Macaca fascicularis: one gene and its partners. The protein of the gene in region 1 interacts with the protein of each later gene in a biochemical or structural test. Links are inferred from orthologs where the notes say so. Each region holds a gene or a part of one and is shown in the gene's direction. Other genes may lie near its edges. The genes, in order: UBR5, PAIP2 and PCK1.

Region 1 (3,649 bases):
AAAATTGTGACTGAGTGAAGGGATTTGCCTTTTGTGCTCTCTCTTAAATCATTGTTAGTTCTAAATGTATTAATTTTGTAGCCGTTGTAAGGTTTTATTCAAAGGTAAAGTATAGATTTTCATACAGGTAGTTCCCACTTCCCCTAACGAGTTCTGTGTTTGTGATTATTTCTTTTTCTTTTTAGTGATGTGTACACCTGTACAGTATTTTTTTTTTTTATAGCAGGAGGAAAAAAAATCATGCCCACACATTAATCTAACAACACATTTTATAAACTCTAGTTTCATTCATTCATTTCTTTGGGATGCAAGTTATACTGTTAAAAATTCTTTTTTTGTGTGTAAAAATCTAAATTGGTGTTTGTTTTAAAACTACTCATTGCGTGGATATTAGTTCAGTTGCTTTTGAGATTATAAAAGGGATTTAGTGTTGAACAGTATTGGTTTTGTGCTAATCAGTATGATTGCTGATGTCTACTATTAAACTTAATTATTACTGATTATAAATGGGGGATAGAAACTTTTCGTTTTAATGTTTAGCTGTTCTTTTATCTGAACTGTATGAAAGATTATTTCTAATCTTACTTCACCGCAGCTTTCGTTCCCTGTGCTTAAGTTTGTGTGGGAGCTTAAGATAGTGACTTTAGTGCTGAACGGTGTACTAGGAGCCCCCAGTTTTATTTCTATCCCTCACTGACTTATTCTGTGATTCCAGAATTGGCATTTGTACTTCACTTCCCTTGCCTGGAGTGCTTGCTTGTAGGACATACTTTCATCTTCTCAGATGAGAAGTTCTGTACACCATTTCATTATGTGTAGATATGGTAGTGAGCTCTGATTTTGTTCATGTTCTTTTAGTTTGAGATTACGGGAAATGATGAGACGTTCGTTGAGAGCAGCTGGTTTGGGTAGACATGAAGCTGGAGCTTCATCCAGTGACCACCAGGATCCAGTTTCACCCCCCATAGCTCCCCCTAGTTGGGTTCCTGACCCTCCTGCGATGGATCCTGGTAAGAGCTGTTATTTAATTTCATTTAGTGTTTAACAAAAAGAGCAGGTCATGAAAGGAAATAATTTTAACATTTTAAAGGGATATGTAGAAATTTGAGAGATTTGAAAGTAGTATGATGAATATTATAACTAGTTTAGCTATAAAAATTAGATTTAAGGTATTTATATTTTAAAAATTAAAATTCCAGAACTCTTGTCAGGTGTTCCACTTTTACTGAAATATTTATTTCTGTACCGGTAAGAAGCTCAATAATCCCTTTATTAGTAATTTATCAAGATAAGTCAATAGATTTGCCTAGTGGATTCCTTCTCTTATAGTTTGGAAAAGAAGTTTCCACTTAAACTCTATCCTGTTTGACCTTTGGCTTGCAGAGAAAAGCCTTAAGGCCAGTTAAGAGAACATGTTAGGAATATGTTGCCTATAATGATATACATCCTACTGTTCTGTTTACTGAAAGATGGTGACATTGATTTTATCCTGGCCCCCGCTGTGGGATCTCTTACCACAGCAGCGACCGGTACTGGTCAAGGACCAAGCACCTCCACTATTCCAGGTAAGAATCTGTACTCTTTGTCTGCCTAGTCATCTGGAAGAAAAAAGGACACAGTTTGGATATAGGGTTCTACAGATCTACACTTTATTTCACAGAGACTTTTCTTTGCTTGAAAAACATCTAATTCTCTGAATTACCTTCCATCTGTCAGTGCAAATATGTGGTGTCTGTGTACATACATTTAGAAATCAGATGAGATTTGTAAAATGTTCATAGGTTTAAATTCTTTGTGATGAAGTTAATTTATTACTGATACTAGAATACTGTTCTGGTGGCTTATATGCCTGATATATTATTCCAGGATATTCTTAAAAAAAAAAATTGTAACTGCTCCTTGCAGAGCAGGGCTAGCTACCCCATAGGCAGTGTGCCCTATTATCTATGTGCTTATGTACCCCATAGGCAGAGTAGCCCAGAATATTCTTTTACTGTGTCTTCTTCATTCTTGTTTTGTACCAAATGGATCTGCTTAATTACAGGTCCTTCCACAGAGCCATCTGTAGTAGAATCCAAGGATCGAAAGGCGAATGCTCATTTTATATTAAAATTGTTATGTGACAGTGTGGTTCTCCAGCCCTATCTACGAGAACTTCTTTCTGCCAAGTAAGAGGTTTTGATATATTTTTCATATGAAGATTTAGCTTAGCTTAGCTTTTACTATTAAAGTTTATCTTCTGACACTATATGGACAACAGTTGTGTAAATTTAAAACAATTGATCAGAATCCAGCATGATACTCCCTCTACTACTAAGCTCTGTTGAGTGAAAGAGACCGTCTCAATATCATGTAGTGTACACTAAATGAATACAAACTGGCTTTTATGTTTAGCTTGTTGGAGTTGTATATTTGTATGTGAAAGACTAAAAATTTAGGTTTTTGTTTTATCATGAACATTTATTTTATCAGGAAGGAAAATAAGTAGTAATTAATATTTTTACATATAATTTTTCTTATTTTAGGGATGCAAGAGGGATGACCCCATTTATGTCAGCTGTAAGTGGCCGAGCTTATCCTGCTGCAATTACCATCTTGGAAACTGCTCAGAAAATTGCAAAAGGTAATTTATTTCAGATCCTAAGTGAGTTACATATTTTTCAGTTTGGATAGATTCTCTTCTGTACACATATTATAATTATTCAGACTGAATTTCCATATATGTAAATGATACAATTGGTTGGAAACGATCAAGATTTGTGTGTGTGTGTGAAATTCATGTGTTATCATTCTTTCTTGAAGTGTACTGTATCTTCCAACTTTCCATCAAAATACAACTAATATAAATTTATTGATTTAAAAATACTCCATAATGAACAGTGTAAAATCTTTGGAAAATAAGATGGGTTACTCATAGAACCTCTTGGTAGTTAATTGGTGTTAAGTGATATAACTTTACAGAATAATAGACAGATGTCTTGTTATTTCTGACTTAGAATTCCTACTAAATAGAAAGCATTAAGGAATATCAATTCTTACCTTCCAGCCTTTGAAAGATTAAAATAGTTATCTTTTTAAAATACTGATAGTTTATGAGATGGTCTATAATTTGCTAAATAGAGCTGGGACTTGAGTCTTAACCGCCTGAAACAGAGCTAAGGATTCAGATGGCTGATGTATAGTGTGTTTATGGGCGTCGTATGTGGGTATGATATAATTATGCTTTACATTGTTCCAGAGTTGGTTAGATTTCTTTGCATGTCATCTTTGTATATCACTTTTTAAAATTGATATATAATTTCTGGTTTATACTGTGTGTATGCTAAGGCCTTCCATTTGAAGACATTGGATGGCTAATTAAGTCCTTTGCTGCAAGATGAACTGATGTGTTCTTGCTTTTTTAGCTGAAGTATCCTCAAGTGAAAAAGAGGAAGATGTATTCATGGGAATGGTTTGCCCATCAGGTACCAACCCTGATGACTCTCCTTTATATGTCTTATGTTGTAATGACACTTGCAGTTTTACATGGACTGGAGCAGAGCACATTAACCAGGTAAGTTATTTTTACATTTTCCTGTATTAATCATATCTTTGTGTCTTTTTTCCCTATGACTATCACTAGACTTAGAGTTTTCAGCTTTGGAATTGT
Region 2 (3,649 bases), on another chromosome or scaffold:
ACAGGTGAATTGTTTTATGTAAACCTATTTTTAGCGATTTCAAACTTAATGAATTGGAATATTTTAGAATGTGAAACCTTGTGCTTCAAATATTTAGCCTGCAATGTATCAATTAGGTTAGATCATGTTATCAGCTATTGAGTAGTATAAGACATCAGGCTTATATTTGATACAACTTATACTCAGATGAAAAGATACTGGACTGGGCTGGGCGCGATGGCTCATGCATGTAATCCCAGCACTTTGGGAGGCCGAGACAGGTGGATCATTTGAGGTCTTGAGTTCAAGACTAGCCTGGCCAACATGGTGAAACCCAGTCTCTACAAAAATACAAAAGTTAGCTGGGTGATAATGGCACACGCCTCTAATCCCAGCTACTCTGGAGGCTGAGGCAGGAGAATTGCTTGAGCCTGGGAGGCGGAGGTTGCTGCACTCCAGTCTAGGTGACACAATGAGACCCTGTCTCAAAAAAAAAAAAAAAGATACTAGATGCCTGAAACTCACTGTACAGTGAGGAAATCCAGACATGGCAGAACTTGACATGGACCTAGAGAAAAAGCAGACACAGAATGGGCTATGAAGGAGAGATCAGAACTATACCTGAAGAACCTGAGAGGTTATTAAAAATCTGTTAGTTTTAGGCCAGGCATGGTGGCTCACGTGTGTAATCCCAGCACTTTGGGAGGCCAAGGCGGGCAGATCACGAGGTCAGGAGATCGAGACCATCCTGGCTAACACAGTGAAAACCCGTCTCTACTAAAACAGTACAAAAAATTAGCCGGGCCTGGTGGCAGACGCCTGTAGTCCCAGCTACTCGGGAGGCTGAGGCAGGAGAATGGCGTGAACCTGGGAGGCAGAGCTTGCAGTGAGCCAAGATCACACCACTGCACTCCAGCCTGGGCGACAGAGCAAGACTCTGTCTCAAAAAAAAAATCTGTTTTCACTTTCAATCCCTGGACTTTTTGAAGTCAGTTTTTAAAAATTGAATTTGCTCTTCATCATTTAATCACTTGATGACTTGATGCCTCAGTCTTCCAGACTGTGTTTGGCGGCGGCGGCGGTGGTGGTGGTGGTTGTTCGAGGTGGAGTTTCACTCTGTTGCCTGGGCTGGAGTGCAGTGGTGCGATCTCGGCTCACTGCAACCTCCACCTCCTGGGTTCAAGTGATTCTCCCACCTCAGCCTCCTGAGTAGCTGGGACTATAGGCATGTGCCACCATGCCCAGCTAATTTTTTCATTTTTAGTTGTTTTTTTTTTTTTTTTTTGAGATGGAGTTTCACTCTTTTTGCCCAGGCTGGAGTGCAATGGCTTGATCTCGGCTCACCACAACGTCTGCCTCCCAGGTTCAAGCGATTCTCCTGCCTCAGCCTCCCGAGTAGCTGGGATTACAGGCATGCACCACCACCCCAGCTAATTTTGTAGTTTTAGTAGAGACGGGGATTCCCCGTGTTGGTCAAGCTGGTCTTGAACTCCCGACCTCAGGTGATCCACCCGCCTCGGCCTCCCAAAGTGCTGTTTTATATTTTTAGTAGAGACAGGGTTTCACCATGTTAGGCTGGTCTCAAACTCCTGACCTTAAATGATTCACCTGCCCAGGCCTCCCAAAGTGTCGGAATTATAGACATGAGCCACTGTGCCCGGCCGACCATGCTTGCTTTATAAAGCAAGTGATATGTAATATAAAATATAAATTGGATGGTTTGGAGAGTCCCATGTAAGCAACTGATGTACTTCATTTACTGTTATCAGAAAACATTAGCTGTGGCCAGGCACGGTGGTGCACACCTGTAATCCCAGCACTTTGGGAGGCCAAGGCAGGCAGATCATCTGAGGTCAGGAGTTCAAGACCAGCCTGGCCAACATGGTGAAACTCTGTCTCTACTAAAGATACAAAAAATTAGCTGGGCATGGTAGCACGTGCCTGTAATCCCAGCTACTTGGGAGGCTGAGGTGGGAGAATTGCTTAAACCTGGGCAGTTGAGGTGGCAATGAACCAAGATCATGCCAGTGCATTCCAGCCTTGGTGACAGAGTGAAACTCCATCTCAAAAAAAAAAAAAAACAACAAAAAGGAAAACATTAGATGTTTTAGCTATCCTCTCCTATTAAAACATTAAAATCATTTGGAAAAAAAATATGAAGCTTTCCAATTGTGCAACTTACCGTGTATCATCTGCCTCTAACACCTATTCATGATGCCTGCTAATAAACAGATGCTCATTAAGAACTGAAAGAATCAGCTGGGCCCGGTGGCGCATGCATATAATCCCAGCACTTTGAGAGGTTGAGGTGGGGAGGATCACTTGAGCCCAGAAATTCGAGACCAGCCTGGGTAACACAGACCTTGTTTCTACAAAAAATAAAAAAAATTCAGCTGGGTGGTGTGGTGGTGCACACCTGTAGTCCCAGTTACTTGGGAGGCTGAGGCAAGAGATCAAGGCTGTGGTGAGCCATGATCACACCACTGCACTCCAGCCTGGATGGAGTGAAACCTTGTCTCAAAAAGAAAAAACCCTGAATAAGTAAGTAAATTAACTGTGTTGTTGTTCTTTTAAGGTTAAAAACGACAACCAACATCAGCCATGAAAGATCCAAGTCGCAGCAGTACTAGCCCAAGCATCATCAATGAAGATGTGATTATTAACGGTCATTCTCATGAAGATGACAATCCATTTGCAGAGTACATGTGGATGGAAAATGAAGAAGAATTCAACAGACAAGTTAGTTTTTTGTACAAACATGTTCTTTTTCATAGTCCATTCCGGCCCTCAATATGATTGTACTTGTCCGTGAAATGTGTTTATCTTGTCCTTTATGTATGAAGTATGTAGACTGATGTGCCACCACTCCTACTTATTTGGCTGCTGATTACTACCAGGCTTAACTGCTTATGGAAATAACCTGGGGAGCTTGTTTCAGGGTCCCACCCTAGAGATTCTGAATCAGGAGGATGAGGGTGGAGCCTGGAAAACTTTTTCAAAGCTCCCAGATGGTTCCAGTGAGCAATCAGATTTGGAAACCACTGCCTTACGCCTGTCAGATACACCAGTCAGATTGCTGTGAAAGTCAAGAGAATTTAGGAGTCAGGAGTAGACAGGCACAGAAAAAAGAGACAGGCATCTCTTTTTACTTCTTCCCTGCCACTCTCAATGGAAAAAAGAATGTTCTACTAATAAAAGTAAAAACAGAAAAACCCTAAACAGATCTTCGCAGGTCATTATGGTAAGCATTTTTTTCCTTAGCACAGAAGCAGAAAAGAAAGTGTGACCTTGTGCCTTTAAATGGTTTAGTTCAAGATATTTTAAGCCATTCCTGGTGATATCTACCAAGTGTGCTACAAATTATCTTTATTATAAATCTAGATAGAAGAGGAGTTATGGGAAGAAGAATTTATTGAACGCTGTTTCCAAGAAATGCTGGAAGAGGAAGAAGAGCATGAATGGTTTATTCCAGCTCGAGATCTCCCACAAACTATGGACCAAATCCAAGACCAGTTTAATGACCTTGTTATCAGTGATGGCTCTTCTCTGGAAGATCTTGTGGTAAAAACTTATTTTTCATCTTTTAAGACCTAGTGCAACTTTTGCATAAGTGGAAAAGCCAGTTCCCATCTATTTAAGAATTCTGCATCTTCTTCCCCTTCAGAAATTG
Region 3 (4,121 bases), on another chromosome or scaffold:
GAAGATGGGCCAAGTCCCCACCTGACCTCATCTTAGGCAGAGAGGCTCCACGGAAGTGTGGGCTGGCTGTGGGGAGTTGAGGCCTAGCCCTGCTCTTTTGACGTTTCACCCCGTGTTCTCCAAACTCCAGCAAGCAGCTTCCGTAGTTCATTAAATTGGACTGAAAGTCTGATGGCTTGCAAAGCAAATTCTTTAAAACTGTTATAAAGGTTTCATTGCTTAAGCATATAATCTAGCAAAACTGCCATGCCACCTCCACTCCCTAAACTCTAAGACTTGCCAGGGAAGTGAACAGTGTCTAGTGGACTGCAGGAGTAACTGCACTCAGCCCAGAACTCCCTGGAGGACACAGGGAAGGTTCTGGAAAGTTGATGGTACCTCACAGGGAGGGACATGGTGCTCCAGGCCCCAACTTCCTCGTGTTCAGATACTCACTCTGCCACCCACCAGCCAGCTGGGAGTAGCTACACAGTCTCTGCCTCAGTTTCCCTATCTGTATATGGGTTGTTCATAGTCTCCACCTCAGAGGGTAGTAATAATGCCAAGCTCTTAGAACAGTGCTCAGTATGTGTGCATTCTGTGCCTACTCTATGCCAAGCACTATAGATAGAAAAATGAACAAAATAGGGAGAAATCCCTGCCCTCATGGAGTTTACATCTGGGGCGGTTGGGGGCACACAGCAGACAATCAATAGAGTGATTAGCCCCCAGTTAGGTTAGGTATTTCCAATCTTTGCCTATAAGCCACATATTTGCCCAAGTTAGGTTGCATTCTTCCCATGCACTTTGACTGTGAACTTTGACTGTGGGATGACATCTTATAGCTGTGGTGTTTTGCCAACCAGCAGCTCTTGGCACACAAAATGTGCTGCCAGCAGCCCTTGAAGTCCGGTAGGTGACCTGGGCAGCCTTGTCCCCGACCCCACCTGCCTGTTAAGAAAAGAGTGTTGTGTTTTGCATCAGCAGTAAAATGGGTCAAGGTTTAGTCAATTGGAAGTTGTGTCAAAACTCACTACGGTTGGTTGAGGGCCCGAAGTCTCCCAGCATTCATTAACAACTATTGTTCAATGATTATCTCCCTGGGGCGTGTTGCAGTGAGTTGGCTCAAAGCATAACTGACCCTGGCCATGATCCAGAGACCTGCCCCCTGATGTCAGTGGCGAGCCTCCCTGGGTGCAGCCAAGGGGCAGGACTATTCTTTTCCACGGTATTTAAAGCTGAGAGGTTCTGCCACGGAACACGGCCTTCCCACTGGGAACACAAACTCGCCAGCAGGAAGAACCCGGAAAGAAACCTTGGATCTCCCTTCGAGATCGTCCAAAGAGAAGAAAGGTAAGTAGAGCTTTGCATTTACATTTCGAAAAATTACAAAGATGAACTCACTTTTTTCCTGAGAGTAATAACTATTTGGCAATGCACGGTCCCAGCTAAAGGCCGTCGAATGTGTTTGAAGATGTCTGTTATTGTTTTTGTTCAGGACGCTTGCGTTTTCTATTTCAGGTGACCTCACATTCGTGCCCCTTAGCAGCACTCTGCAGAAATGCCTCCTCGACTGCAAAACGGCCTGAACCTCTCGGCCAAAGTCGTCCAGGGAACCCTGGACAGCCTGCCCAAGGCAGTGAGGGAGTTTCTTGAGAACAGTGCTGAGCTGTGTCAGCCTGATCACATCCACATCTGCGACGGCTCCGAGGAGGAGAACGCGCGGCTTCTGGGCCAGATGGAAGAGGAGGGCATCCTCAGGCGGCTGAAGAAGTATGACAACTGGTAAGCTCGGCCCCCACTGCCTGCCCCAGGCCCCTGCAGGCAGGGCTCCCCTGCGTCTCCTGGAAGTTGGTGGAGAAAGGTGAATGAAGGCCTCTCGGGAGTTTCAGACTCTTGAGAAGTTGAATGCAATGGTCAGAACAATACAGATTTGAGTTTTGTGACATTAGTGGGCTAGCCCAAGCTTTAAATGAGGTGGTGTGCACAAAAGCTCTGCCAACTAGATTCTTGATAAAAACGAAAGACAGCCCCTCTCCTACAGACTAGCTCCTAGTTGAGTAAACGCCCACCTGGCCATGTCTTAGATGGTCTGTGTGTTCACACGGATGGACTGTTGTTAGCATGCTCAGTGCTCTGCTAGGCATGGAAAGCCACGGTATTGAAGGAGATGGTTCGCTGCCCATGGTGCTTGGCTGAAAGGAAGCCTGTGATTTTTACAGCTGGTTGGCTCTCACTGACCCCAGGGATGTGGCCAGGATTGAAAGCAAGACAGTTATCGTCACCCAAGAGCAAAGAGACACAGTGCCCATCCCCAAAACAGGCCTCAGCCAGCTCGGTCGCTGGATGTCAGAGGAGGATTTTGAGAAAGCGTTCAATGCCAGGTTCCCAGGGTGCATGAAAGGTGAGCGGAATATTGATTTGATTGGGAAAAATAGCAGAGAACCTTTTCTTATTACATCTATCCTAATGGTAATTCAAAGTGTAATGGAAGCTCCCACCACCTCAGACATCTTTCAGTTCCATACATGAAGTTGGCAACGTATCGAAAATGCACATCCCTCTTCTGCTTTTACAGACTGTCTTATACAAATGTGGAAACTATTTCCATGCATGTGGGTTTTAAATAGGTTGGTGGGACCTGGTTGCACATTTATGAAAACTCTTTAATTTCAGCAGGCTCTTCACTCTCCAGTGGCCTCCCCTAACCTAGGGGGGCTGGTGGCCAGCAGGGTGTGGTGGTGTTAGTGGAAGACTGTGAAAATGGGTCTACCTGGGAAAACAATGCTGGTTGTGTTCAAAATCCAAGGTCATTTCTCACCAGTGCCTACCCATCGCACCCTGTAGGTCGCACCATGTACGTCATCCCATTCAGCATGGGGCCGCTGGGCTCGCCTCTGTCGAAGATCGGCATCGAGCTGACGGATTCGCCCTACGTGGTGGCCAGCATGCGGATCATGACGCGGATGGGCACGCCCGTCCTGGAAGCACTGGGAGATGGGGAGTTTGTCAAATGCCTCCATTCTGTGGGATGCCCTCTGCCTTTACAAAGTAAGTGTATTATTTCAGAATCAAAAGTCAAAATAAAAAAAGAAAGCTGAACAACAAACCCCAGCGGGTGCCTCGGGGACCCCCAAACAGAGCCCTGGCTCACTGACGTGGGAGGGGTCCTTGTTCACAGAGCCTTTGGTCAACAACTGGCCCTGCAACCCGGAGCTGACGCTCATCGCCCACCTGCCTGACCGCAGAGAGATCATCTCCTTTGGCAGTGGGTACGGCGGGAACTCGCTGCTCGGGAAGAAGTGCTTTGCTCTCAGGATAGCCAGTCGGCTGGCCAAGGAGGAAGGGTGGCTGGCAGAGCACATGCTGGTGAGTCTGCAGGAAGCCCTGACGTGCAGATGAGAGGCCCGGGGGGTGGCAGAAACAAACAGCATTACAGTTCCCATCCAGCAAGACCCAGTACACCTTTCCGAGCATGCAGGTTCCCAGACAGATTGGGAAACCCCACCAGTAATGATTAGTGCACACGTATACGTCACTTTTGAAGGGCCCCAAACACCAGGGGACCATCGAGATCCTTTGGACTTCATGATTCTGGGAATGTTTGTTTGCACTGATACCTGAAGAAATAGATCTTGAGGGCCTACATTCCAACCTCTGGGCTGAAGTACCAACCTCGGGGAGAAGGGAACAAAGATCACAATAAAGAATCTTGTCCCCGGTGGGCGCGGTGGCTCACGCCTGTAATCCCAGCACTTTGGGAGGGCGAGACGGGCGGATCACGAGGTCAGGAGATCGAGACCATCCTGGCTAACATGGTGAAACCCCGTCTCTACTAAAAAATACAAAAAAACTAGCTGGGCGAGGTGGCGGGCACCTGTAGTCCCAGCTACTCGGGAGGCTGAAGAAGGAGAATGGCGTGAACCTGGGAGGCGGAGCTTGCAGTGAGCTGAGATCTGGCCACTGCACTCCAGCCTGGGCAACAGAGCCAGACTCTGTCTCAAAAAAAAAAAAAAAAAAAAAAAAGAATCTTGTCCCCAACAGATCCTGGGTATAACTAACCCCGAGGGTGAGAAGAAGTACCTGGCAGCTGCATTTCCCAGCGCCTGCGGGAAGACCAACCTGGCCATGATGAACCCCAG

Evidence for each region.
Region 2: the proteins of UBR5 (region 1) and PAIP2 form a complex in vitro, tested with the Homo sapiens proteins (2 studies listed by BioGRID and IntAct, with this or other methods). The link is inferred for Macaca fascicularis from reciprocal best matches to the Homo sapiens genes UBR5 and PAIP2.
Region 3: the proteins of UBR5 (region 1) and PCK1 form a complex in vitro, tested with the Homo sapiens proteins (2 studies listed by BioGRID, with this or other methods). The link is inferred for Macaca fascicularis from reciprocal best matches to the Homo sapiens genes UBR5 and PCK1.

What each region holds. Positions count from the first base shown.
Region 1 is NC_088382.1:111,909,007-111,912,655, reverse strand, and holds part of UBR5 (E3 ubiquitin-protein ligase UBR5), read left to right. Parts: intron 1-858; coding exon 859-1,010; intron 1,011-1,469; coding exon 1,470-1,565; intron 1,566-2,044; coding exon 2,045-2,168; intron 2,169-2,525; coding exon 2,526-2,623; intron 2,624-3,404; coding exon 3,405-3,553; intron 3,554-3,649. UniProt on the Homo sapiens protein: E3 ubiquitin-protein ligase involved in different protein quality control pathways in the cytoplasm and nucleus. Mainly acts as a ubiquitin chain elongator that extends pre-ubiquitinated substrates.
Region 2 is NC_088380.1:145,856,182-145,859,830, forward strand, and holds part of PAIP2 (polyadenylate-binding protein-interacting protein 2), read left to right. Parts: intron 1-2,554; 5' UTR 2,555-2,580; coding exon 2,581-2,718; intron 2,719-3,360; coding exon 3,361-3,540; exon of another isoform or gene 3,541-3,649. UniProt on the Homo sapiens protein: Acts as a repressor in the regulation of translation initiation of poly(A)-containing mRNAs. Its inhibitory activity on translation is mediated via its action on PABPC1.
Region 3 is NC_088384.1:113,624,138-113,628,258, forward strand, and holds the start of PCK1 (phosphoenolpyruvate carboxykinase, cytosolic [GTP]), read left to right. Parts: upstream 1-1,239; 5' UTR 1,240-1,332; intron 1,333-1,500; 5' UTR 1,501-1,540; coding exon 1,541-1,764; intron 1,765-2,201; coding exon 2,202-2,383; intron 2,384-2,826; coding exon 2,827-3,030; intron 3,031-3,160; coding exon 3,161-3,348; intron 3,349-4,023; coding exon 4,024-4,121. UniProt on the Homo sapiens protein: Cytosolic phosphoenolpyruvate carboxykinase that catalyzes the reversible decarboxylation and phosphorylation of oxaloacetate (OAA) and acts as the rate-limiting enzyme in gluconeogenesis.